7 linked regions of the Bombyx mori genome follow. The main gene of each other region encodes a partner of the protein of the gene in region 7 in a complex. Links are inferred from orthologs where the notes say so. Each region holds a gene or a part of one and is shown on either strand. Other genes may lie near its edges.

Region 1 (4,249 bases), on a different chromosome or scaffold from region 7:
TAAATCGTGGAAATTGCGAATGCTATTAAATTCGGCTTTTTGAACAATGTTCATATTTATTTTATTATTATAAAGAACATTCTTGCATGTAAACCTTGAAATGGTGTAAATTAACAAAATCCGAAAATTTTATGCATAGAAATGTGTAGAACGTGACTTAGTGTCTTAAAACCTCTGTATTTTGTAGCATAATAATATTATGTTCTCTGAGGATGGCTCTGAAGACTTATTCGAGATGATCTCATCATCTCCTTTTTATCACGGTAATTCCAGCTACCGGAGCAGAATTCATCCATTCTAGTTGGCAATGCAGCGTTCATCCACAGAGCGTTTCCAATGATATGTAGCACGGCACGATATGAACTGAACTTTAAAATGAATTCCCCTCCACAGTATTTCTCGAGCGTTATGACATAATAATATATTTCTTTGTTCTTCAAACGCCGTATCAGGAGAGTTTCAGCGGAAGGAAAAAAAGTGGAAAAAAAAAACGCAAAATATTTAATTTAATCAGATTTCTTTCCCACAGATAAGAACCCGGATGTATTAGAGAAATACTTGGCATTGCCTTCGTTGGTCCTAGTTTCTGCGGCTTGAGGATTGACGATTTCCAAACCCTGTGAACAATTATACCTATAGTGATTATTTCATTTTTACTTTAAATATTGTTTTTCGGGTCGAATTGCGACCAAGTAAGTACATTGAAGATAAATGTCTTTAAAAGCAATGAACGTAAAACGTAATGCTAATTGGAATTATCCGTAAGACAATAAATAACACTGGAAGTTAATCATTCATGTCAATATGATTTTCTTTACTACACGATCATGATCAATAGGTCAGGAATGTGTGTTAATGTTCGATAAATTCACGACCAACCTATGTCACTAGGTTACCGAAGCCCTTAAGAATCCACAGCGAGAATGCCACTGCCCGCACTAAAAATACGAAATCGAAAAAGAAAGAGTTGGAGCTCTGAATTGGAATATATTAATCGGTATTCTACTTATAATAATGGTTATCCCAGCAAATTGGAACACCCGATTGCTTCGCGTTAGAAAGAAGCAGGTTTATATAAAACTTCTTACCACGTTTGACAGCTAGATCTCATTCCTAGACATAGATATATGAGATATAAGTTCTAAGGTCTCAGTATAGTTACAACGGCTACCCCACCCTTCGAACCGAAACGCATTACTGCTTCACGGCGGAAATAGGCGGGGTGGTGGTACCTACCCGTGCGGACTCCCAAGAGGTCCTACCACCAGTGACCATATGCATAATAATATGTACTTTAGCTTTCGTGGTATATCAATTTATATAGTTATAATAAGAATTCGACTGCCCAATATTAGAACTGCCTACATTTTTTCTCCCTACCTATGCTGATAGCATTGAGGCTATATCAATCAGCGTTACCCTAGCGTGTACGTGAGCTCTCGGAGTTCAAACCAGGAGGTGTTGCTAACACAGGCCCTAGTAAGAGCAGTGCTTGGCTGAATCTACCACCGGATCGGAACACGCGACCCACTGAGAAGATCCGGTGAGAAACTCAGTGGGCAAGAATATATAGTACAAAGTAAGTAAGTAATGACTTGGTTTGTCCGGTAAATTGCCTGTTCGTGGTGCATATCATTTTGTTGAGGTTTGGTTTTTTAAATCCTTTTATTATATTTTGTTTCTATAACGTCATCGATTTTATCGCCATTCAAAGGGTTCATCCACACGAATCAGGCATGGACAGTTTAAGAAACTAAAGTACTATAAACTTCGTTGACGATTTCAACTAAAAAATAGGTTCGTATAAAAAAAAGAAGCAATTACACAACTACACAACTCTGAGACCAACATTCGTGTATTTGTATTTACAAAAGTTTACAAATTCATAAAACGGATTTTATTTTTATATTAAATTTGTCAGATCGCTTATTAACCCGCACCAATCGTCTACTTTTGCCTTCAAAACTTATACAATTAATGTTTTGTTTTGTACTAGGCTCAATCAAATATACAACATACTTCTGTACGTTTTTGACACGATAATAACATCTTATAAATCGATGAACACCGGCTGCACGCTCGAAAAAGTGTCACGTTCCGCTTGAGACTGAGCGTGCAAGCGAGAGCGCGGAACAAGCGATAGAGACGCACGATCGGCCCAAGCGTTAATTTAACGAAAATAAAAATAATCGAAAATAATACCTTTTTGTATTATACAAAATAATAATAATTCAGTTACCTATAAACGTTCAATTAAATTCATAAAATTCATGCAATGTTTCTTTATGACGTTATCACGTAAAACTATCGTCCGTAAACCGACTTTACAGACAACCAATTTTTTATGCAATCAGAAAAGCTTGAGATTACGCGTAATCAACGACGAAACTCATGAATAGTACTACTCGTATATATCGGCACAAGCTGTGACAAGTACTGCAATTACCACTGATTACAGCACAATCTATTCAATGTTTTCCTCTATATCATGTTGCTTCATTTTCTTATTATGATAATTGTACAATATGGACAGTGTACAGTATGTAATCATTATAATCAATAAAACAGTTTCTGACGTTATAGAAGCTAGAAGAAGAATAGCCACGAGATGCGACTTTGCCGGGGCACAAATCCTGCAGATGGGTAGGATTTTTTAAAGAAATATGCTCATTATATATCACACTAGCTGTACCCGCCTGTTTCGCTGGGCATTTAAAATTAACGTTATTATTTCTCAACCCCACAAAGATTCTCATCACTAACGGAGGAGTCACTAGGGAGTCCAACACTCATATAAATATTAGCCTATCCATTAAGTACATGTATTTTCTACATGGATACCAAGTTTCAAGTCAATCGGATGCATGGTTCAGTTTTATTATATATTAGTATAGATAACATGAATCGCAGGAAAATTTGCATAATTACTAGTGGGCAGGGTGTACTCTCTACGGGTACCTACCACCAAAACATCATGCGTTTCAGTTTGTACTTTGCCAATGCCGTTATGCAATAAAATTGATACTTCGACAGTATGTCAAGGGGGGTAATGACATTTTGATGCCTATGAGCTGTGCCATTTAATACCGAGTGGGCTGAGAGAGCTTATCTGCTCATCGAGGTAATAATAAATATCTAGATATGCGTACAAGAGCAATCATTGTTTAGTTTAGTTTACAGATCAAACTTCAAAGTTTTCTCTTCAATAACCCTATAAAAGGATATCTTAAGAGCATCGCTGTAAGAGAGACGAGAGGGCATAATGTTTTGCTGATTCGAATCGGTTACGGCGAAGCTTCCTAAACATTTCCTTAGAAACTATGTTAGCTTAATAAACATGTCAATTGAATGAAAAAAGAAATATCTACTATAAATGAATGTTAGTTATTTTACGATAAATAGTAATTATGATAAAAAAAAAATTGTCTAATGTTTATCTTTAATTTTTAAATTAACTCACACAGTAGAACAAATCTTCCAATGCGCTTGAAGGAGGCACAGTTCCCAAGATACTGGCTACGTTACCTTGTTGGACAGCCAGACTCACTCTCTGTGCAAAATATCAGCTAGCCTTAGCATCACGTGTAGCCTCCTTCAAGCGTTTGGAGATTTCTGACAAAAATTTCTTTGCTTCAGGGCCCCAAGGGCCCATCGTTTCAACCGCGAAAGGCAAAAAAGAATAAGAAGATCCGATTTTACGATTAATTTTAATATTTAATGCGAGTAGATTATTTGAAACACTTTAAACGTAATTGGGTAATAGTAATAACGATGATCATTTGGAGGTTCTGTGTTATCCGTGCCATTGAAACGTCCATATTAATATTCATTCATGTTATTTAAGGGCTATTAAAATAAACACTAAACTGAATACTATTAAAATAAACATTAAACAGATGATCAGAGATGTCGAGCAAATGGACACTGGAACAAATAAAATTAATTATAACTCGTGTCTCCGTTCTTCGATGCTAGACATCGGTTTAATTTTTAAACTAGTAAACGACATCGACCCGTAGGTAGATACATGAATATCTTTAAAAGTGTTAAATTTATACAATAAATAAATAAAATTTGAGAGACACTGACTTGAAGAACAGATGTGGCGGTTAACATCGGTCGAGAGGAGGGCGTGCCAATCGTAATAATGTATAGCACTCGCAATAACGCCAACGCCGTACCTACATCTATTATGTTATGTAAATACATCAGCATATCTAGAATACCTTCAGTTTCGCTGTCTATGTTT
Region 2 (4,040 bases), on a different chromosome or scaffold from region 7:
CTGAGGTGCTGATGTGCAGTGTGAGCTTGTATGGTTAGACACCACTGTCCTGTGCGTCTGTACAGTGAAGCCGTCATGACTTCTATTATTATACTATCTCAGAAGCAGTAGTGGCCAGTGGAATTTGACTAATAATAATTATAGTTAGTTGACACTGCGTGTCTCATAAATAAAAACACTAGTTATTATCCAAATTGTTTTTTATTTGTTTTCAATCTTTTGATATTCACACCCACAACGACACATCCTATCACATATCTGCTGACAGTCTCAGTAAACTTGTTACACTGTTTGTAACTAATCTAAATTCGAACATAAAACATTCAAATTAAAAATATTTTGCATAAGAGGTTGTCGTGTCCTAAAGGATAAGATGCCGAGTTACACACATTTAACAAACATGCATGATTGTTGCAGGTTTTATGCTGCGAAGCATTCCAATTTGCCCATTAAGACAGCATTTATCCCAAACAGTACAACTGGGACTTTGATCTCAAACCTCATGGTAGGTGCAGGCCTTCATAAAGTCTATAGGCTCCAGTTACAGTGCAAAAAAATTCAAAATTATATGGATAAAACATTGTCAAAACTCGGCCATTGGTTAAGTTTGGTTTGTACAAGGCAGTTTATAATAACTTTTTATATTTAATTACAATAGTCACCCCCGCATAAACCACACATAGATATTTCCTCAAGCCAAAACAAGATTGAACTATTACCCATCATATGGACAAGATTTCTAGATTATTGGGACTGATATAAGGATAGAACATAGAGATTAAACATTGTATTGATTGGGAGTCACAATAAGTCACCATAGGGTAGCATCAGTGTGTAGTGTCTATTTGATCAAATGGTCCATGAGACCTAAGATGTGTAAAGCAGATTGAAGGGTGACCAAAATAAAAAAACAGAAAATCTGGAACAGGACCTTATTGTTACATTTGAGAACATAATAATAATCTTTGAACAAACAGTTGTTCTATTTCCAAAATTTGTATTTTTCTCACTTAGATATATCAATATATAAGAATGATAATGAAATAATTCCTTGACAATTGAAATATAAGACAAGTACAACTTAAGCTATCTAAAAAATATCTTAACGCTAGCGTCGAGATGGTCCTGACCCACCTTGCCAGCCTCCACGGTGGCCCCCACCTCTTCCACCTGCTCGTCCTCGACCAGCAGCTGAAAATTTCAAAGATTTGTATTTTACTTCTTGATTCCTCTAGATGTGTGAGTAAGCTTACAACCCACTTGATTAATGATTTACTGTGGCCCACAAACATCAAAATAAGGATGCTGGTTGGCATGATACTTGAGATGAGTATGAAGAGATACATATATTTGATCGCTCAAATGTATTGTAGTTACTGTCCAGCCCGTCAAATCAATTCACATTCCTGTTTAGCAACAGAAATTTGCCGTAATTATTTAAATACACAAGAATGGGTTTTCACAAATGTAATAGATACAGTTATTAGTTTGCATAACATTATGTAAAATAGGTTTTACTTTAGATGTGTGAGATTGTGTGCATTAGGTACTTGACATGGTCTCATCATTCACATATTTTCTTTAACCACCCAAAGTAAAATTGTCAATAACATATAGTTGAATGATTAGAAACAATTAACATTGGAACAAAATACTGATTTGATATTACAAAACTTAAAATTGCAAATTTGACATTGTATGTCTATATAAGCACTCAAGAATGAAAAATTGTAAAATATTCTCAATTACTATTAAAAAACTGTGACAAAAAATATCTATACAGGATATAAACAAACAAGACATTTAAAAAATCAAAGCTTCAAACTACCTATTTTTTGCTCATTTGACCCAATTGATCACTATGTATTCAATGCATTTGTACTAATTTTAATGAAGGCTATTTATTGATTGTAATTAAATGTGCTTATCTTTCATACTTGCATACGTTTTCTACTTAGAAATTTTCGTTTAATAATTTGGTTATATAGTGCAGTAATTGTTAAATAGACTTCACTCAAGTCTAATTTATAACAAGCCTAAAGAAATGGGTTGTTCTAAGCTAAAGATGTTTATTCTTTTTTAAGTCTTTGAATTAAACGAAATTAAGAACAATGCATATTCACAATTTCAGTGCTAGATGTAATTAGACTGCAAGTCAGACAGCACTCATTCATATATTAACACTCGTATGTTGTCTTGTTGATAATGAACACAATCACTACGTATGTGATGCGAGAGAACATTTAGGATACCTAGCTCGATAAACAAATCACATACACACTATTTTTATATTGTTCAATACCTTGGGCTCGCAGTATCGCACTCTTCCCTCGTCCTGCAGTAGGTTTATTCCCTTGTCTTTTGAACATTGGCGCGTTCTTCAACATGTCCGGTAATATTAAAAATCTGATCTTGGAACCACGGATGTACACATTCTCGAGCTGTGCAACTCGGCCATCTCTGTATGTGACTGTTACGAGAGTCATTTGGCAATTCATATTATCCTCAGCTTCAATTAATTTCCCTCTATAAACTTCACCGGTATTTGTTTCACAAGTCACTACATGACCTTCCGCCTCGTGAAGTACTTTAATAGGCACACCGATAGACATGTTTACGTTTTAGTTAAGAAAAACGTACGATAAAGGACAATAATTCAGTATTATTTCTTAGATTATTTACGATAAAAATGGGAAAGAATATTTCAAAAAAATTAGACGCTTCAAATCCATAGACATCTAATGTAATATGGCGGCGAGTTCCGTGCATAGACAATAGACATTTTTATTCATTCATTGACAGACAAAGACAACATAACCCATATTACCAAAAATCCATTATGATTTTTAATTCCCTTAGCATTGTGAAAATCAACTTTACTGGTGGTAGGAATGGTAGGATGTCTGCGAGTCCACAGAGGCAGACAACACTACCCTACCTATTCCTGCCGTAAAGTAGTACTACCTTTCGGTTTGAAAATGCAAGAGCATCGCAGGGTATAACTATTGAGATTTTGCAAAAAGTTAAATGTAATCTTAGTTAATTCCAACCATTTTTCTAAATAAATTACATTTCACTGTACATAGCCTAATAGACCTAGTTTCATTTGTAAAAAAAGCTAGGTGCTTAGGCTTTATGCTTGGGGTAGCAAGGGGGCGTGTAAATAGCCCTCCTGCGGCGGGAGCATATAAAGCGGGGTTGTAGAAAGGCGTGTAAATAGCCGTCCTAAGCGGTATGTGACAAATGTTTGTCACTTATAATTAGCGGAGCGGTAAAACTATATAGCGGTAAACAAAAGCTAGTAATCAAACTAAAGATATAAATTAAATACACATAAGCGAGCGGGCGGGCGAATGATTACACGAAGCAGCAATAAAATGGCAATAAATTAAAAGAACTTGCACTCACCTGTAGATCTTGCCAGTGACTGTCGTGCGGGCGTCGGCGATGGAAGCACGCGGGCGGCGGGAGGGGGTGACGAAGCTCACGTAGCTTTTCGTAAGCTCAAGCACCACACAATATACAAGTGCCGCCATCTAGGCAGCTAGCGGTAAAGCGTGATCGATCGGGTAGAACCACGCTTTGGGTAGTCGCGGTAATTAGTTACTGACAAACTCCAAAGGTGGCGCCATCCCAATAATTCATTAGCATCCCATTACTAAATCCGCGTGACCATCCTGCCCGCCTTGAAAGTTCGCAGGACTTTCAACAAATATATAAAGATACTAAGATAGGAAGCATAAAGCTTAAATAGCGGGAAGTTATTTGAAAAGAAACAAATTTTAATTAATAATAAGCCATCATGAATGTTTACGAGTAGAGTTGAAGCGGTTGATGACATGCGGTACTCTAATTTATTCTAGCGGTAGCGGATATAATTTTACAACTGGACGTTTAAGAAATCCAGATTTCGTTTTTACCAAAGCAACGCGTATAATGTTATCGGCACCTGGATACACCTCTTGTATAACTCCAAGTGGCCAGCGGAGCGGTGGAATGTCATCTTGATGAATAAGAACTACTGTCCCAACCTTCACGGG
Region 3 (3,375 bases), on a different chromosome or scaffold from region 7:
CTACATATTTGTAAAGCATCAGTGTTCAGTTTTTCGGTTTGCTTGTCGACTACTTATCATATAATTTACGCTATTTGTATATGTGTGTGTGCGCAGCTAATTATTTTTTTAATATAAGGTCAACGGACGAGAAAGAGAAAACCAATGATGAGAAACCTGCTGATAAGTCGCGCCGATCATCTAGCGAAAGACGCTCGTCTTCAGCTTCATCCCGTAAGTACATTCATTTGAACCTATTCGTTTATACATTTCTTTGATTGTATTTTACTTAGTAAGCGTAATAATTCAGGAATTATTCAAAATTACTTCAGATGTTCAGAATTCTATTTCAAATTTCAATATATTTTATCTCTTCTACTGGCAATGGTAGCTTCCACATCTCCTATGACATACATTTCTTATACACTTGTTTTTCAGAGATTAATTAATTTTATTTCATTAAATCTGTGTAATAAGTAAAAGCCAAAAACTAAAGCGATTATTTATAACAAATAAAGCGGTTATTCGATGATATAATGGTTATAGCATCAATACCGCTCTTCTCATAATTCCCGACTTAAAAAAAAGTGATACGCTAGGTGACGTCGTGTTTCTGCTGCAAAGCAAAACGGAATGTAAGCGGTCGGAAAATTTAGTGGCAGGGCAGCGCTTGTGTTGTCATAAACTTATTTTCTGTCCGAAGGTGAGGCCTCGGCCGAATGAACTAAACCTGAACTAAACATACCACAGATGTGTACAGGCTCCAATGGCAGCTTAACTTAGCCTTCTGGGTTTTTTTTAATTGGTTTATAATTGGAGATGGATTAATTTAATTTAATTTAAAGGATTGTATTTTTTTTAAACTCAATGCTTAAGATAGGTTATTATTAATTTATTTTAAAACAATGAAGTCAATGATTTTCTTTTTAAATTTAACGAACGCAATCGTGATTTGCGCCTAATGTTGTTAAACTGAAATTAAAAAGGTCAAATTTGATCGATTTTTTTGCGGTAATTAATAAATTTCAGAAAATTTAAATTATTCCATTTGGCTTACAGTAAAATAATGAGTACACTTTTATGATTATTAGGTGGCAGTGTGAAGAAGAGATCGTCACATAAAAAACGACAATACCGTTCGAATCGTGATTCTTCTACAAGTGTTAGCCCTAGGCGCAGCTCCCGAAGAGAAAGGTAACATTATTCACTAATGTAACTAAATCTAATTAAAATCTAACTAAATGTAACACCGTATTTATGTGATGTATTCAATAGCAGCCACTTATGCAAAGGTTTACCAACAGACAACTTATATACATTACACCAAACTAAAATTAAACTAAGCCTGATTATTTAATATAAAATACTTTGATGTTAAGGAATGGACTTGAAAGAAATTATTCTACTATTTGAATAAACATTTTTTTTTTCTATTTACACATGTATTGTCTATCTATGAAAATTTCGTACCTGGGCTTTAAAATCGATTCATAAGTATTGAACTTTAATTTTTTTTGTAGGAGTAAATCTCGCCGTAGGAGCAGCCGACGTAGGTCGTTAGATCGTCGTGAGAGGGAAAGAGAACGGGAGAGAGAAAGAGAACGCGAACGTGAAAGAGAGCGACGACGCCGTGAACGAGAACGGCGTGAGAGGTATAGATTTTTTTATAATTACTAGTGTTTATTTAATTATCTGAAATCTACAATAATTACAACATCTGAAGATTTAGATTTAGAAGAAATATATTTGTATATATATTTTACTTTTGTTACTGAATTTTTGAAAAACAAGAATCTACGTTTTTCCATTTTCTTATTGATAACAAATATCTTAAGAAAAAAAATTACCATATGATGGACAATATATTCTAATATTTAAATAAATGAAACAATGTAAACAGTTTTCAATATTATTATTATTTGTATTTTGTTTATATTTATTTATTTAGTATTTTTTTATAAAATTTCTTATTAATTAATAAGATAACAATCTTTTATGGAGTTCTTGTTGGGTCTTTATTTTATACCCGATGATACTACATTTCGATTAATGCCATAATTGCCACATAGAACCTTTATATCATGACTACTTAGATTTACATACTTTTAGCCCAACTTCATGAAACGTTTTACGAATGGTACAAGCCCATATTAGTCTCCTAATTTCTAGTGAAAACTAGGCAGTGGGCTGTGGAGAAGTTGTTGTTCAATTTTAACGACCCTATTAGTAATCGACGGTCCACACATTTTGTTGCGTTTGTTCCTGCACCTGTGATCTGTTATCAAACAATCGTTCAATAATGTAATACTCAGATTGTGAAAATTTCACGAAACTAGAGATTTCTACTGGTACCTCGCATGCTAAAGCTGCAACTGCACACTTAGTTCTAGTCTAAATTCGTTTATTTTAGGCATTTTACAATTATCATAAGAAATAAATATGAAAGAGAACAACAAAATCAGTCAACTACCAAACCATCCATCACCAAACAAAATAATAGGGTATTATTTATTCTGTTTTTTTTAAGGGATTTTATGACCTAAGACTGATCTAAGACTTTTATGTCTTATTTTAATATATGTTATTTTTATGAAAAATGATAATATGGAGTGTAATGAAATGAATATGATTAATTTGAGACATTAATCAGCTGAGATGAAATAAAATGAGATGATATGGGATGAATTATAATCTCAGTAAAGTGGTGGTCATTTATTGAGATTTTTTCAGTAGACTTTTTGGGAGGATCCCGAGAAGTTACGTCCAGCGGCTTTGTTTCATTTTCCCACATTTTTGCACTTTCAAAGATATTAAACAGTTAATAAACCACTGTTATTACACATTTAAACCTGAAGAAACACTAAATAGACAAAATAGAACAAATCACAAAACTTAACTCCTCGCATATCCGCCAAAAAGTATTTATTATACTGATTAAATACAACCAAAGGTTGCAAATACAGAATATGTTTTGCTGAAAATTCAGGATATATAAACTAATATTAAGTAATATCTGTGAGGATACAATTGCTTTGATTAAATGATGAATTTTCATTTGAAATATTTTCTGTATAGGTAGTTAGTAATTGCTTATTGATTAGGGCAGAATAAATTACATCGTTTTAGTTATAAATGCAGCTGTTTATACTTATTTAAAAATTCAATAGTTTTTACAATAAAAGATTCATTCATAATACATTGTTTTTTTTATGTTTGTGATAAAATTGCACCTAAAGGGTTTTTATATAATGATTTCTAAATTAATGTAGGTCGAGAGAACGTCGACGATCGCTTGAAAGACGCAGACGGTCGCGTTCACGCTCTCGACGACGTTCAAGAGACAGGTATAATTTACTTTGAATATGTTTTCATCACAAGCATTCGCTTTAAAATTGA
Region 4 (4,287 bases), on a different chromosome or scaffold from region 7:
AAAACATATAAAATGGCAAAAAATTTGAATTTTATTTTGTTTATTTATTGTTGGCAAAGATAACACATCAAATTCGTTATGCGTGATATAGTCTGTACATTAAATAAAATACAATATATTAACACAATAAAAAAAAAACATTACAAAAGCGATAAAACTACATTACAAACCAGCAGGTTTCTCATTGACTTCAAGTGGTTTAAGTCCAAGTTTAGCTCGTAGACGATTGGTCTCTTCAATGGACAAGCTCTCTTGTGCTCCACCACTCTGTGTTTGTACTGGAGACTTGGTTTTCTCACGTTCATACTCAACACTCTTGTCCCTATAAAAAGTAATAAAAATAGTTCGTAATGTAATTTCAAGATAGATAAGCTAACAAACCTACCCAGTGGAATTATAATTATAATAATACTTATGTTACCCATCAAATTGTGTATGATTAGATAGATACAGAAAAGAAGATGTTACTAATCATTGCAAGGTCATAAATAAGTACAAGAGTTCAAGAAGTAGTCACTTCAGTCAATGTTCAGTTTAGTTTATTACCCTTCAGATTCATTTTTCTCTGGCCGATGCAAAGCACGCATGCGGCGATCCCGATCTTCACTGTCTCCTCGAGAATGGTTAGTCTCGTCATCCTTCAGCTGATGCGAGTCGACAGGCACTTCTTGAACTGTAACAAACAGATATCTGGTGTTTAATCCTAATTTATAAATCTCAATTTCTTATTGTGGACAGATTATAATGTAACAACATTCGTTTTGTATTATTTCAGCGTAAAAATCATTTCGTGGTGGCAGATATAAGTGTATACAAACAGATAAAAGTCTGTTAATTATATTGTTTTGTATCTATGTATGTATGTATGTTTTTTATTTATTTATCTATGTTTTGTGTATAATATATATATATATATATATATACTATCTGTAGACTATACTATACTATGTGTATACTATATTGTATTAATTCTACTGTGTTGAAGTAAAACTTTACTTCTAATGTTGTAGCTGTAATCAATGTTCAGCTGATTTTAAACACATTAGTGATGTGTAGGCTGGCTGGTTTGCCTTTATAAATTAATGCAACCTTTTGATTAAGAAGTAAAGAGGATGTGAATTTGAGTTGGTCATAACAAATAGAAAAAAGAAACAAACATAGATATAGCGACAGTAAAAATAAACAATAAAACTGCAGTATGAAGTACTAAGCACAGAACAGAATCAAAAATTCTATTCCAATGAATACTGCAGGACAATAAGGACAATTCCTAGCTAAAAATAATTACTTGTTGTTTTAGTGAATTTCTATTTCAACAACCCACAAACCAAGAAGAAAGCCTGCAACCAGACTCAGTGTAAAAGAGAATGTGGATTTCACAGGTCACACAATCTTTAATTAAATACACTACTTACAGAGAATAAAAATATAACATTTTAATGGTTTTTTTAGTGGCACCATGTTCATTCACTGGGTTCATCATTTATTTTTGTTTTAAAGAATAGTCCTTGCAAAACTTAATTAGTAGTAAAGTACAATGGCCATTTTCCTACATTTCAGTTGATAGTTGTAATGTTGTATTTGGACAGACAAGTTTAGCTGATTTGATATGATTTACTACAGTCCGCAGGTGCCACAGTGTAACTGCGACATAAGACATGATGTTGAATCTTAGCTGTGCTGTGATAAAAGCATACTTCAAAGCTAGACTAGGTTTTTTTTTTAAATTGTTGTTATTGTTAATATTAAGTATGTGCTGGTGGTTGTCATTGTTTTCAAAGATTTCCGATAAATGTTTGTCTTATTTTACAGGCTCTTTTATTGTTTGTTTCTAGAGGAAGTTTCATTTAGAATGAATTGATACACATTTTGTGATTTATGGCACTATAGAATAAATAATTATACGTAGAAGTATGATATTGGTACTTTACAACATAATTATTGGTGATAAATTGTTAGTACATTGTAGTTCATTTTGTTTCCTGTATTATTTTCTGCAGCAAAAACAACTTTACTCAAATCAGGAACCTTCCATCGTTTTATTAAATACCTACCTCTTAATGACGGAGCGAGGGACGCGGTGGCTGAGCTCCAGTGCCACCGGGTCTGAAATAACGAGCAGACAGTGTGCCATTATCTTGTCATAATTAATAACAGCCAGTTCTGTTGATGACCTATGCAATTCATTATTTAAATCAAACAAACGGTTTTATTTGGATATACAAGTTAGGATGTGAATCCGTATTTCATAGTTTTGAAACGTGGTTTTTTGGCACATAAGATCATCATCAAAGGCTGGCGTTTGTTATCTTTATCGAAAGTGTTGTTACTGACCGTCAGGGGAGCGCTCTCGCTTGCGATCTTTATGTTTCCTATGCCTTTTTCGTTCACGTTCTTCACCTTCGAGTGGCGAACGGGACCTACTCTTATGCTTCTTTTTCTTTGCTTCTTTCTTATGCTTTTTTGAACCCATTCTTGTTTCTTAAATAGTCTCTTATAACAAAATTATGGGTACAAAATAAAAACTATAAAATATTAAAAAATCGTATTCTCGACAAGTGTTCTGTTTGTTTCAATAATCACAGACAATTATTATTAAAGATACTACGTAGTGAAATAGTGCGCCATTTTATTTTGCAAAATATAGTCTGGATATATTTGTGGTCCTATTTCTATTCGTGTCTTACAAATGAACAAACTTATAAAGCTATTTCTATTATGCAGTTAAACACGTTTCATAGGGAACAAAAAACAGACCTGGAACAAGAAATGCCAGTGACAGCATTGACAGATATATAGTAGTAGTTTTACTTTTTCAACTGGAAAGGCAAAGATGTCATACCATACCGCCTGATCTTTTATAAATTTATTTAATGTTTTATAAGAAAAATGATAGAAGTGAAATGAAATGAAGTTGATTAATATGAAACATGGCATGAAATGAAATGAGATAAGATGAGATGATATGGGATGAAATATAATCTCAGTGAAATGGTGGTCATTTACTAAGACTTTTTCAGTAGACTTTTTGGAGGATCCCGAGAAGTTACGTCCAGCGGCTTTGTTTTATTTTCTTACATTTGTGCATTTTCACAAATACTAAACAGTAAATAAACCACCGTTATTACGCATTTAAACCTGAAGAAACACTAAATAGACAAAATTAAACAAATCACATAACTTCACTCCTCGCGCTCCCGCCAATAACCAGATATTTGTAATAAACTAAACATTTCAAAAACAGATAGATACAATAGGTACCGAATTTGTGGTAGCATTAATTTAGTTTTTCCAATTATTTTTAGTATAAGGCTTGAATTAAGCCTTCTCGGAGTTTAAAACCTGTGAAGCTACCGACCAAATTAAGTTAATTACATTAAGTTGTTACTGGAGCCGATAGACATGAACCATGTAAAAAATGAGTTCTAATTCCCAGTGTTCACAGTATAATGAATGAACGATGAGAAACGCTTATCTGCTTCACAGCAGAAATGGGCAGGGCGGTGGTAAATGTGGCGGTGGCGGATGAAATTGCTCAGTAGGCCGACGGTCCTGTTGCTATTATTCGGAACTTGTATTTAGGAAAGCTTGTCTTGAAAATGTTAGTGAGATACAGGTATCTCTCAATTCAGTTTTTATAAGCATTAGGTACCTGTTTACTTAAGAAGGTTTAGTATATAGAAGATTACAAGTCCTTTTTCCTAATACAATACCCTATTTTAGACAGCTTTGTGGCTTCGAGACCATCGGTTGTGTCGTATGAGGTCGAGCGTTGTCGTGGAGGAGCAGCGGGGACGTGCGATTGACAGAGTCTGGCCGGGGATTTGCGAGCTTCTTTTTTTTATTATTGCTTAGATGTGTGGACGAGCTCACAACCCACCTGGTGTTAAGTGGTTACTGGAGCCCATAGACATCCACAACGTAAATGCGCCACCAACCTTGAGAATAAGTTCCCCTACCCTTCAAACCGAAACGCATTACTGCTTCACGGCAGAAATAGGCAGAGTGGTGGTACCCACCCGCACGGACTCACAAGAGGTCCTACCACCAGTAATTACGCAAATTATAGTTTCATTTTTTATTACACGATGTTATTCCTTCACCGTGGAAGTTAATCGTGAACATTTGTTGAGTACGTATTTCATTAGAAAAATTGGTACCCGCCTGAGATTCGAACACCGGTGCATCGCTCAACACAAATGCATCGGACGTCTTATCCGTTAGGCCACGACGACTTCTACTTGGGCTTCTCCACCATTATGTCCAGCTCACAGTGCACATTAATAG
Region 5 (4,065 bases), on a different chromosome or scaffold from region 7:
TATGTGGTTCTTAAAAGACGAAGTGATTGTTATTACTAACTTAATAAATAAAATTTGAAAGGAAAACAAACCTCTATAGTCAACGCCGCTGTTTAATTTAACGACAACTGGGCGACCGTGAATCTGCTGTATAAACGAGGACAAAGCTTCCTTACGACTCATTTTTTGTGTTTATTTATTATTCTGATGAAATTGAAGACACGAAATACATTAAATGAAACTTAAAAATTTTCAAATTGGTCAAAGCGGGTGTTTTGATTACTTTTGATCTTTTTTTAAAGGTTTTTATGACTTGGTATCTAATACCTTTAGGTCGTCTTATTTTAATTTTAATGAATTTTTTAAAATGAAAAATTGTATTAATATTATGAAATGAAATGAAGTTGATTACTATGAAACATGGCATGAAATGAAATGTAATGAATTGAAATGAGATGTTATGAGATGAAAAATAATCTCAGTAAAATGGTGGTCATTTACTGAGACTTTTTCAGTGGACTTTTTGGAGGATGCCGAGAAGTTTGACATTCTATTTTCAAATCCAGTTATTTGTTTGTTGATTAGTGTTTTGTTTTCACTACATTTGTAATATAATGTATCTTACATCAATATGTACACGATAGAAAAGAGTGAATATGGAGAGTTCCGTCGCCGTGGCAATGCCGCAAAACGGCTCATATTATGTTTGGTATTTAAGAAATAATGTGTATGTACGGAAAGAACACTACAAAAGAACGCACGATTGGCCTGTACGGTTCAGCACAGAAGTTTTGATTTAAAACATTTTGCAGCTTTCAACGTTAGGATCAGAAGAATATTAGTTCATTTGGGTCAAGTTGGTGGGCAAAACTTGATATGTGGCACCCCCACACGAACTGAACGATCGTCACCCCATTAGGGTATCTTGAAGCATATTGTCATCTACGATGAATTATGTTGTTTATAATCATAAGCGGTCACATCAAGCTGGTCATTTGCGATGAAAAATGGATTATTGTTTATAATCATAAGCGGTCATCAAGCGGGTTGCAAACACACCCTGATTCAGAACTAGAGGCGACTTTACCTATGGTGCGAGGTGTGTGTGAGTTGCAGATGCGCGCTGCGGTTTTAGGGTGCACCGGCCTCTGCATTCTTAATGAATCAGTTAGATTTGTTCCTTTTTTTTTTTTTTTTTTTCGGGCCGGGGGCCGAACCTCCTACGAGGTCCCCGCGCCTAGGGGGCGCGCGGGGTATGTGAGACTCAGCGATCTGCAGGTGTTGAGAGCAGATCGCGGGCCCAAGGATTTTAGGGCCCACCCACCAAACGACTCCCCTGCACTCTTACACCCGACGTCCGATCTCCGTCCGGGGTCAGAACCCGTTCAGTGTAGGGGGGTTCCCGCGGTCAACACTACAACCAGACACGCGGCGCCACCCCGAGGACGCCCGACCGACGGGTCGTCGAGGCGATAGTCGACGACCAACGACGTCGGTCTCCGCGGTACGGCGGCCCTACCAGGCCGCCCGGGTGGTGCCGCTGGTGTTCCGGGATACCCCGCTGGGCCAGAACCAGCCTGCCGGGTCGGAACGCGATACACCGCCGACCGGGTTGCTCTTCAACAGTATGTTCGGCGACGACAGCGACGACGAAAATGCGGACCGCATCGCAGTCCGCAGCCGCCGACGCGCCGTCCCGTCCTCCTGGTGCAGTTAGATTTGTTCCTAGTCCAACTTGATTGCACGCTTACTAGAGGGCGCTAGAATAATTATTGCACTCGGACATTACATGGACTAGAGGTTCAGTACAAAGGCAATGCCTCAAATGAAAATCTATCTCTAAATATGTCATGTTCACTGTTTAGTGGCTTTGTTCTGGTATAATTCATCACAGCTTCCTACCAAATAGCATCATTACTACAGATGTGTATGGTGAGGAACAGGATACAATGATGAAGAAGCTTTTGTATCTCCAGCCTGCCCTTCTTAATCGCTTGTCCACACTTCTCCTATATGACAACGCTCAACCTCATATGGTACAATCGACCGTCTTTAAGCTACAAGAGGTATGGATGGAAGTTTTTGCATCCACCATACACACAAGTTGTTGCGCCAACAGACTTACTATTATCCTTTTTCCAAAGTTTGAACAACTTCTTGGTAGGGTAAAAATGCAATACCCAAGAGGTTAACTGAAAATAATTGGGCTTCCATACGCTCCACTTCTTCAAGGGCATTGAAAGATAGGCAAAAAAATATCAGTGATCTAGGGAAACAGCATAGTTACTACTTACTACTATGAATACTTATACCAAATTTTCTGGAGGAAAAAAAATGTTGGTTGGTTTGAATGATTAAAGTGAATGATGTGTGTTATTGAATGATTGATAACTGTCCACTTCGATAAAGCGGCACGACACGAGAACCCTCTCATCGTGGCCGCTGGTAACTACATTCCCGATCCTGCGGACAGAATGGAAAGCAGTCGACGTCGCCCAAAACACGTCATCTCGGATCCTCCTGATCCACTAACGGTGCTTTTAGGTACTTAAAGCACCGGTCACCGTTCTCGTCGAACCCGTCGCTTGCGACGAAGGGCTCGACGAGTAAATTAACTCTCAGACACAGCCCACTGAGTTTCTCGCCGGATCTTCTCAGTGGGTCGCGTTTCCGATCCGGTGGTAGATTCTGCGAAGCACGGCTCTTGCTAGGGTTCGTGTTAGCAACATCGTCAGGTTTGAGCCCCGTGAGCTCACCTACTAAAGTTAGGGTTACGCTGACAGCCGCTAGGGCTATCAGCTTAGGTAGGGAAAAAAAAAAAAAAAATTATAACTGTGAATGATATCGAAATTCAAATTGTGCTCTAAATTTAAATAAATGTTAACTACGGGGTATATGGGGTAATAAAACTAAACATAAACAGTATTTTTTTGTAACAAAATGTTCACTTTGCTTAAATATAAAAGTCTACGTTCTCTCTTTAGCTTCCATCGAAGTCCATACAAAACCAGTATAATTATTCAGTTCATTATCAGTCAGTGGGTATGGACTGTTGCTCGCTTTGTAGTAATCAGATGGAGCATGCATCACAAATTCCATGTATTCCAGTTTCCGAGGCAGCTCTTCTTCAGGGCCTGAAAATTTACAGCAATATTAACCTTAACTGTCACATTTTTTATATACACTATTCTTTTTTTTGCTATATGGCAGTTGAGTTTTCGTGATGCTATTGTTGCCAGTATTGAGTTAGTAAAAATCATATTTACAAAATAAAAATAAAAAATTAAGCTGAATTTAATTAAGTTGGTTTATTTCATTATATTCATTATATTGGGATGAAATTACATGATATAGATTGAAACAAGACGAGAGGAAGTGAAATCAAACAATGCAGGCTTTTTAGAAATGCCGTGTCAAGCGACTTATTTCGTTTTCTGCTATTCACGAGCTTTGATCGAATACACATTTAATGAGTCACTATTATTACAAGTGGAAAATCTAAAGCACTAAATTTACAAAATGAAAAAAATCACCCAAAATGCCTTAGATATTGAATAAATACTTTAATCACCTACTTCTGCCTGTTGCAAATATCTGTATTTCTAATTAAAATATTATTAAAAGCTCATACCAATGATATATGTAGCAGGATCAAAACATTTCTCTGGAGGTGGGCTCGCTTTTGTAGGTAATAACCAAGTAACAGCTGCACTCTTCTCACAGTACTCATCAGTTAGGAAGCCTCTAATTTGGGCATAGTATGTGCCACCATCAATGTCAGTCATCGAAACAATATCACCAACTTGCATGTACATACCCTGAAAAAATTACCACAGACTATTCAAAGCAGAACCGAGGTAATTTTTCAAGTTTTCATGTTTACTGTGAATAATAAGTTAGGGTTTTTTAAATTAAATTAATCTCTAATCAGTTTTTAAACTATAATTAGTATGCGATATAGCCTCAAGATTATTGAAAAATAAAAAAAAAGGTATATTTCTACAGCTGTTGTATATCTAACTACAGATTTTAATTGGATTAAATAATTGAACAGACCTGATAAAATACTGAATCACTTGTAACAAC
Region 6 (4,192 bases), on a different chromosome or scaffold from region 7:
ATTTTATCACCAGCTTTAAAAGCTGTGTTGCTGAAGGATGTGGTATGAATCTTGCATATTTTTTGATAATTTTTATTGTTCACAATAATATAGGGGAATCTATTCGAGAGCATCTTGTTCATTATGAAGTTCGTTTATGTAACTATTCAGGTGGTCTTACACACATTTTGTAGAAAAACTGTAGCTAAATTGACGATCCTCAAATCCTGCGTAGTTTTCAAATTTGACATCATATTTATAACGTCTTGATCAGTTATTTCAGTTTTTGTTTTCTCATTGTACATATATATCAATGTCGTTATTGTATCAGCTACAGTGTCTGTATCACTTGACTTCAATAATCGAAACAAAGGTTTTAATCCCAAGTGAGTTAAAATATAGTCTGCATTCAGTGGATCTGAAAAGTGATAATTCTTACATAAACATGTGAAATGTGAAATAGCAATATGATTTTATATAGTGTCAAATTTTTAAAGATGATTCTAGCGTTTTTCTAAATTTGGGATTTTACATTGCTTAGATGGGTGGACGAGCTCACAGCCCACCTGAAGTTAAGTGGTTGCCGGAGCTCATAGACATCTACAACGTAAATGCCACCACCCACCTTGTAATGAGTTCTAAGGTCTCAGTATAGTTACAATGGCTGCCTCACCCTTCAAACCGAAACGCATTACTGCTTCACGGCTGAAATAGGCAAGGTGGTAGTACCTACCCGTGCGGACTCACAATAGGTACCAGTAATTACGCAAATTATAATTTTGTGGGTTTCATTTTTATTAAGCGATGTTATTTCTTCACTGTGGAAGTCAATCGTCAACATTTGTTAAGTACGTATTTCATTAGAAAATTTGGTACCCGCCAGATACCCGCCAGATACCCGCCGGATTCGAACACCAATGCATCGCAAGATACGCATGCACCAAACGGAGTATCCTTTAGACCACAACGACTTCAAAATGTTTGATTCAAAATGACTGATAAATCTTTAGTATTACTAATTTCTTTTTTAGCAATAATTTATTTCGGGTCTATTGCTATTCTATTGCTAGTCTATTCCTGCGGGATCTTCCCGGGGATTGGATCCCGTCCTATTGTCAGGACGGGTACCGGCGACGGCGAGCCTGCGGCGCGCATTGTGCGGTACCGTAGGTTTCGTGGAGTCGGAGTAGTGGAGCTCGATGGGGTTTAGTCGGTAGTCGGGTCTATTGCTATTTTATTAATGCATTTGCTATTTTATTCTTTCTTAATGAAAATATTATTGAGAATCAGAATCAAATTTTTTTTACTTTTTAATTACTACTTTCCTTACTCTTCTAATTATTATCTTGAATACTGTCAGTAGTGTGGTGGCAGCATGTGTTGGTACTACTGTCAGATATAACATTAATAAACCATTTCAGTCTAATGGGCTTAAGACTTTCCAATATAATAAAGAGAGTTCCAATTTAATGGTATGTAGGGACAGTTACACAATATTGAGGGGAAAATGGCTATTTGGTATAAGCAGCATTGCACTTAAAACATTTACAAGAAAACGGTGCAAGCTCACTACATATTATTGGGCACTTTCAATTTTAATTTACTTTAAAATGCACTAAATCACATCTTATCAACACTCACAAATATTCAAATAGTTCAAGTATTTAATTAAATTTAAATAGAGCTACTTTGATAATCTTAAATAAATTATTGTACATAATAATATAAAGAATACTTTTATTGAACAGGTTCTTTCTTATAAGAGTTTTCATAAAAAAATTGACAGTTTAATTGAACTTATAATAATTTGAGAAAACTATTCATCTATTGTTATCAACAGCTTACCTAAACACAAATTGCAGACACCCGCAATGGCATACCTTATTAATCTACCAATAGTTTCATTCTTCAGCACATACAAGAATATATCTAGTACTCCAACGTCTCTAATGTATGAGTAGTTCACAGGATCATATGCAAAATTTGCCAAATTGGCTAAAACTTGCAACTTTGCTTCTGTAAGGAAAAATAACATTAACAAATTGCAGTGCCATGGAGAGAGCCGTGGAGAGACAGAGATAGAGAGAGATAGATTACTTTACTACACACCAAAACACAATCATCATTGTGTCACACAATCATCTCTTCTAAACAACCTTTTTTATCTAGAGAAATTGTGAAAAAGATCCAACAGGTATGTTATTAATTATTCAGAAACAGAGCAAACCTTCATGCACATTACTTAATAATGAAGAAAAAAAACTAATGTATGATACAATAAATATAAATATAAAATATAAATATTAAAATCACTATAATCATATCCCATAAGTCACATACACAATTTAATTTTATTAAAACGAAAAATACCATTATCCAAACGCAATAGGGCTAGCTGTACTGTGAGTACTCTTTAGCATTAAGGTCGCCCTTGTTTATGCAATAGTTTTCTAACTATCTAAGATTTTTAAAAGTAAAAACTTTAATGGCAATTGTGAAAGTTCATACGTAAATCGCATTAAAATTAATTAAATAGATATTGCATGTATATTTTATTACCATAGGAACTTGAGTGTAAATATTCGTCGACTAATAATGACAAATATGCCTCGCGATCAGTACCATCTTTTGGGGTACGTTTTTGTAAGTGTGCTCTTGAACTGAACATTAAATTATAGTAACTTAAAAGGCTATAGAAAAAATCCTACTTTGACTGGACCACTTTCATTAAAGTAAATACACATTCCTTATTTTTCCTTTGATTCAATAATTCAATTGACACGCCATGACAGTTTTCTCTGTTGTTTTTGACATTTGACAGGTGGCACAATGACATGCGGAAGGGAACATTTTATCTACCATGACATGGGGTAAATTGGGATCCTGGGGTAAATTGGGACAAACCTGCGGAAGATTCTCAAAGTACCTGTAGCACGGAATCTACCTAATTTTGTTTATGTTAATATTTGTCAATGTATAGAAGAAAAACCAAGTTAACTATAGAAGTACTAAATATGAGTTAAGTTGGTCCCAAAAATTCGTCAAATTAAATTGAAAATAGTGGTTGAAAAGTGCGTTTTAAAACAGCTTAAAGAACTTTTAAAAAAAGTAATATTATCGTTGTTTTTTCAATAAGATCACAGTTTATATAAGTTTTTAATACACCTGGAAATACCACAACAAACGGTAAGTTGCAATATTCTTATTTTAAATACAATATTTCGACAAAATAAAAAATGTATATTTTTTCTTTCCTTTTTGGGGAAAATTGGGACGTTTGTAGGGTAATTTGGAACGAGACTGGAAAAATTAGGGACGAGAAAACACAAAATTGGAACGCCAAAAGACAAAATAGGGATGGCTTGTTAGGGTTGTCACTGATATCTTATAATAGATTTTTTAGCCTATACTATCACTTAATTGCGTGATGTAAAGAAGGTTAATATGTTTATCAGTTAGTTTATGTAAGTATTATAGGTAAAAGAAAAGTATATATATAATTACTTTTTTTTCGCGACATTTACCTTGTAACATCTGCCCGGTCGTATGTTCTTTATAGCAATAAAAAAAAAAAAAAGTTAAAAGAACTCAAACGAATCAAAACTTTTGTTATTTCATAATCTATTCACGCGTCGAATCATGATTTTGTTAACATTCACAACGCACACACAAATAAAAACAGGCCTCAGATTTTAAATGTAACATTAATTAAAAATCCGAGATATCCAATTATGAGTGAGTGAATTAATTGAGTTTAGTTATTTCGCTTAGAAAGAATTTCTTTTATTTTTGTTATTATTGGCAGTAATCAGATAAAGCCGGTTTTTTATCTTATTCACCTGATATCTTACTCTTGCTCAAAGATTATTTTGAAAATGTTGATTAAATAAAATTGTATTATTGCATTTCCAGTCCTTTTGTTTTCTATTTTTTATTCTATTTTATGATTTTGTTTCAGAGTTGTGATTTTTAAGGAAATTAAATAATAATTTTCTAAAATATAACATGCACATACTTTTTTTGATCATTGTATTGTTGATTATCATTCACGTCACATCGCTTCAGAATAGAAACCAGCTTAATTTACACTATGTTGTGTATTGTGCTTAAATTATGGATTGTATTCATCATTTCGGTCCATATAAATAATTATATGGCACCTACCTATATATCGCAGTACTGCGAGTTGACAACCCTTACAAATATCCCAATT
Region 7 (2,664 bases):
CTCTGTTAAACCAATTAGCTCGGTAACACTGTGTTGTGTCACAACTTCGGATCTCATCCCATATAAAAAAAATATGTATGGGAGATTCCACCCACTGCAAAATTCGATGGGTTGGAAATTCATCTAATATACAAAAATCCACGACAATAACATTAATTCCGTATTATAATATTTTAAAAAGCACATTACAATGTCAAAAGCACATCCACCAGAATTGAAAAAGTAAGTAATATTGGAAGTTTGTTTGTTTCACTCGCAAACAAAGCTGGCGTCCTTGTTATAACCTAAAATTAAAAGAACAGCGTAAATTCTTTAAAATCCCAAATTAGTCCGTAGAAATTCGCATATTTGATGTTTATACACAAAAAAGAATATGTACTTTAAATGGTGCTTTTATATATTTCAGATTCATGGACAAAAAATTGTCAATAAAGCTGAATGCGGGTCGCGCTGTTACCGGTGTGTTGCGCGGTTTTGATCCATTCATGAATTTAGTTCTTGATGAATCAGTCGAGGAGTGTAAAGACGGTCAGCGTAACAATGTTGGGATGGTGGTTAGTATATTTTCAAGAACACTCTAAAGATAGCTTTTGTCCGCGACACCGTCCGCGTGGAATAGTTACTTAGGCATAACGCTAAATTTTACCCCCCACTTCATTTACGTAGAAAGTGAAAGTATTTTTTAAATATAGAATGTTAAGGAGCTGTTTAAATCCCCTATTTTGAAACATTCTTTATTGGTGCTCCACTTGTATTGGTTTTACCGTGATGTTATATAGCCCATAGCCTTCCTCAATAAATAGGCTATCTAACACTGAAAGAATTTTTCAAATCGGACCAGTAGCTCCTGAGATTAATGCGTTCAAACAAACAAACTCTTCAGCTTTATAATATTAATGTAGTATAGATTATAATAGGGCAAGTTTGGTTATCAGAGCCGAAAAAGGTTGCCACTATTGGTGGCGCATTAAAAAAATTTAATACTTTGCATTTTATTTTTTACAGCAGAGAACTTTCACAAACATTTGTTGAATTCTGAAAGAGATTGTCGCTTAGATGTGTGGATGAGCTCACGGCCCACCTGGTGTAGGTGGTTACTGGAGCCCAATGACATCAACAACTTAAATGCCATCACTTAACTTGAAACATGAATTCTAAGTCTCAATTTTATAGTACAACAGGTGTCCTACCCTTCATACTAAAGCGCATAATTGCTTCACGGCAGAAGTAGACTGGGATATTGTATCTACATGTGCTCGCTAAAAAGATACTCTACCACCAGTAATTATGCAAATAATAATTTTTGGGGGTTTGATTTACATTACACAATTCATTCAGGGTGGAGATCATTCATAAATACTCATTAAGTATTGTCACTACAACAATTCTTGATGTTTGAAGTGTATTTAGTATAGATGAGTCGACTATTATCAAAGGCGGCAATGTGACTTTTGGACAATTATTGGTAAATCAGAGAAACGAATTATTGACTTTGTATTCTATTGGCAGTCACAAAACTCTTCTGAACGACATCTTAGATAAATAACAGGTTAAGTATTAACCTTTATTTAATGCAGGTTTTGAACCGTATTCTTTGAAGGAGACGATTATATTCAAATAAATCTGTATTGACATATCAATAACATTTTTTTGTCCAAATGCACAGATTGCCACCTTTGATAATAGACGACTCAGATAGTGTGTTTGATATTTAAAAAATAGTTGTAAGTTACATACAACTATTTTGTTTAGCTGTAAGCATTAGTTTTGCTGTGTCCTTCACATGGTATTTTAGAAATCACTACTATTGCTCAGCAGTAGCTCGTGATTTTTTATGACAAAAAATATTTGACTGTAAAGGAACTGAATAAAACAATTTAATCTTTCTTTCAGGTAATTCGTGGTAACAGTATTATAATGCTGGAATCTTTAGACAGACTTTAGTAGACTTAGAGTGGGCAAGAAATATCACCAATGCTGTAAATGTGCTTCACTTTTCATCAATAAATAAATATAAAACTCGGATCTAAAACTTAGTTTCTACAGCAACAGCAGCAACAGTAAAAGAAAAAAAAAGGAAAACTGATAATTTTATATCTAAACTTCACTATTTAAATTTAATGTGATGTTAGGTTAAGTTAATAAATAATAATGAAACACCTCAGATTTGTGTTTGTTTTGATCTATATATTCTACTAGCGACCCGCCCTCGCTTCGCTTCGGAAACATTAAAACACACATGAAACCAAAAAAAATAAAAAAAGTAGCCTATGTTCATCAGGGACAATGTCGGCTTCTAATGGAAAAAGAATTTTTCAAATCGGTCCAGTAGTTTCGGAGCCTATTCGAAACAAAGAAACAAACAAATCTTTCCTCTTTATAATATTAGTATAGATGAGTCTAGCTCTAGATCATGCAACTACTGCTGTTGGTCATTGTAGTAATGCAATTGGCACAGCTAAGTATCAAACTGAATATACCTTTGAAGAAATAAATTCCTACTCTAGAAGTTCTGGTGGGAAAAGCAGTATTTTGGTATTGTGCAGGTTTTTCAGGTGTTCACTTGTTAAGGCAAGTAAATCGATAGATGAGTCGTCTATTATCAAAGGCGGCAATCTGTACATTTGGACAAAAAATTTTTATTGATATGTCAATACAGATTTA

Evidence for each region.
Region 1: small nuclear ribonucleoprotein G (region 7) and U4/U6 small nuclear ribonucleoprotein Prp31 share a complex: the UniProt entries of both Homo sapiens proteins name them as parts of the U4/U6-U5 tri-snRNP complex. The link is inferred for Bombyx mori from reciprocal best matches to the Homo sapiens genes SNRPG and PRPF31.
Region 2: small nuclear ribonucleoprotein G (region 7) and small nuclear ribonucleoprotein Sm D3 share a complex: the UniProt entries of both Homo sapiens proteins name them as parts of the U7 snRNP complex. The link is inferred for Bombyx mori from reciprocal best matches to the Homo sapiens genes SNRPG and SNRPD3.
Region 3: small nuclear ribonucleoprotein G (region 7) and serine/arginine repetitive matrix protein 1 share a complex: the UniProt entries of both Homo sapiens proteins name them as parts of the minor spliceosome. The link is inferred for Bombyx mori from reciprocal best matches to the Homo sapiens genes SNRPG and SRRM1.
Region 4: small nuclear ribonucleoprotein G (region 7) and U4/U6.U5 tri-snRNP-associated protein 1 share a complex: the UniProt entries of both Homo sapiens proteins name them as parts of the U4/U6-U5 tri-snRNP complex. The link is inferred for Bombyx mori from reciprocal best matches to the Homo sapiens genes SNRPG and SART1.
Region 5: small nuclear ribonucleoprotein G (region 7) and U6 snRNA-associated Sm-like protein LSm6 share a complex: the UniProt entries of both Homo sapiens proteins name them as parts of the U4/U6-U5 tri-snRNP complex. The link is inferred for Bombyx mori from reciprocal best matches to the Homo sapiens genes SNRPG and LSM6.
Region 6: small nuclear ribonucleoprotein G (region 7) and armadillo repeat-containing protein 7 share a complex: the UniProt entries of both Homo sapiens proteins name them as parts of the minor spliceosome. The link is inferred for Bombyx mori from reciprocal best matches to the Homo sapiens genes SNRPG and ARMC7.

Annotation. Positions count from the first base shown.
Region 1 is NC_085116.1:12,759,030-12,763,278, forward strand, and holds the end of U4/U6 small nuclear ribonucleoprotein Prp31, read right to left. Parts: intron 618-4,249; coding exon 507-617; 3' UTR 501-506; downstream 1-500. UniProt on the Homo sapiens protein: Involved in pre-mRNA splicing as component of the spliceosome. Required for the assembly of the U4/U5/U6 tri-snRNP complex, one of the building blocks of the spliceosome.
Region 2 is NC_085122.1:328,611-332,650, forward strand, and holds small nuclear ribonucleoprotein Sm D3, read right to left. Parts: upstream 2,801-4,040; 5' UTR 2,613-2,800; coding exon 2,303-2,612; intron 1,192-2,302; coding exon 1,109-1,191; 3' UTR 183-1,108; downstream 1-182. UniProt on the Homo sapiens protein: Plays a role in pre-mRNA splicing as a core component of the spliceosomal U1, U2, U4 and U5 small nuclear ribonucleoproteins (snRNPs), the building blocks of the spliceosome.
Region 3 is NC_085128.1:8,265,078-8,268,452, forward strand, and holds part of serine/arginine repetitive matrix protein 1, read left to right. Parts: intron 1-118; coding exon 119-213; intron 214-1,070; coding exon 1,071-1,173; intron 1,174-1,499; coding exon 1,500-1,631; intron 1,632-3,248; coding exon 3,249-3,323; intron 3,324-3,375. UniProt on the Homo sapiens protein: Part of pre- and post-splicing multiprotein mRNP complexes. As a component of the minor spliceosome, involved in the splicing of U12-type introns in pre-mRNAs. Involved in numerous pre-mRNA processing events.
Region 4 is NC_085118.1:17,264,693-17,268,979, reverse strand, and holds the start of U4/U6.U5 tri-snRNP-associated protein 1, read right to left. Parts: upstream 2,801-4,287; 5' UTR 2,474-2,800; coding exon 2,335-2,473; intron 2,107-2,334; exon of another isoform or gene 2,055-2,106; intron 674-2,054; coding exon 547-673; intron 323-546; coding exon 171-322; intron 1-170. UniProt on the Homo sapiens protein: Plays a role in mRNA splicing as a component of the U4/U6-U5 tri-snRNP, one of the building blocks of the spliceosome. May also bind to DNA.
Region 5 is NC_085134.1:2,613,541-2,617,605, reverse strand, and holds the start of U6 snRNA-associated Sm-like protein LSm6, read right to left. Parts: upstream 2,801-4,065; 5' UTR 163-2,800; coding exon 72-162; intron 1-71. Other genes in the region: GATA zinc finger domain-containing protein 1, read right to left, coding at 2,947-3,113, 3,611-3,797, 4,036-4,065. UniProt on the Homo sapiens protein: Plays a role in pre-mRNA splicing as component of the U4/U6-U5 tri-snRNP complex that is involved in spliceosome assembly, and as component of the precatalytic spliceosome (spliceosome B complex).
Region 6 is NC_085121.1:11,321,580-11,325,771, reverse strand, and holds the start of armadillo repeat-containing protein 7, read right to left. Parts: upstream 2,801-4,192; 5' UTR 2,648-2,800; coding exon 2,539-2,647; intron 1,996-2,538; coding exon 1,825-1,995; intron 398-1,824; coding exon 147-397; 3' UTR 1-146. UniProt on the Homo sapiens protein: As a component of the minor spliceosome, involved in the splicing of U12-type introns in pre-mRNAs.
Region 7 is NC_085133.1:8,585,515-8,588,178, reverse strand, and holds the end of small nuclear ribonucleoprotein G, read left to right. Parts: exon of another isoform or gene 1-96; intron 97-101; exon of another isoform or gene 102-105; 5' UTR 106-190; coding exon 191-222; intron 223-406; coding exon 407-554; intron 555-1,893; coding exon 1,894-1,944; 3' UTR 1,945-2,164; downstream 2,165-2,664. UniProt on the Homo sapiens protein: Plays a role in pre-mRNA splicing as a core component of the spliceosomal U1, U2, U4 and U5 small nuclear ribonucleoproteins (snRNPs), the building blocks of the spliceosome.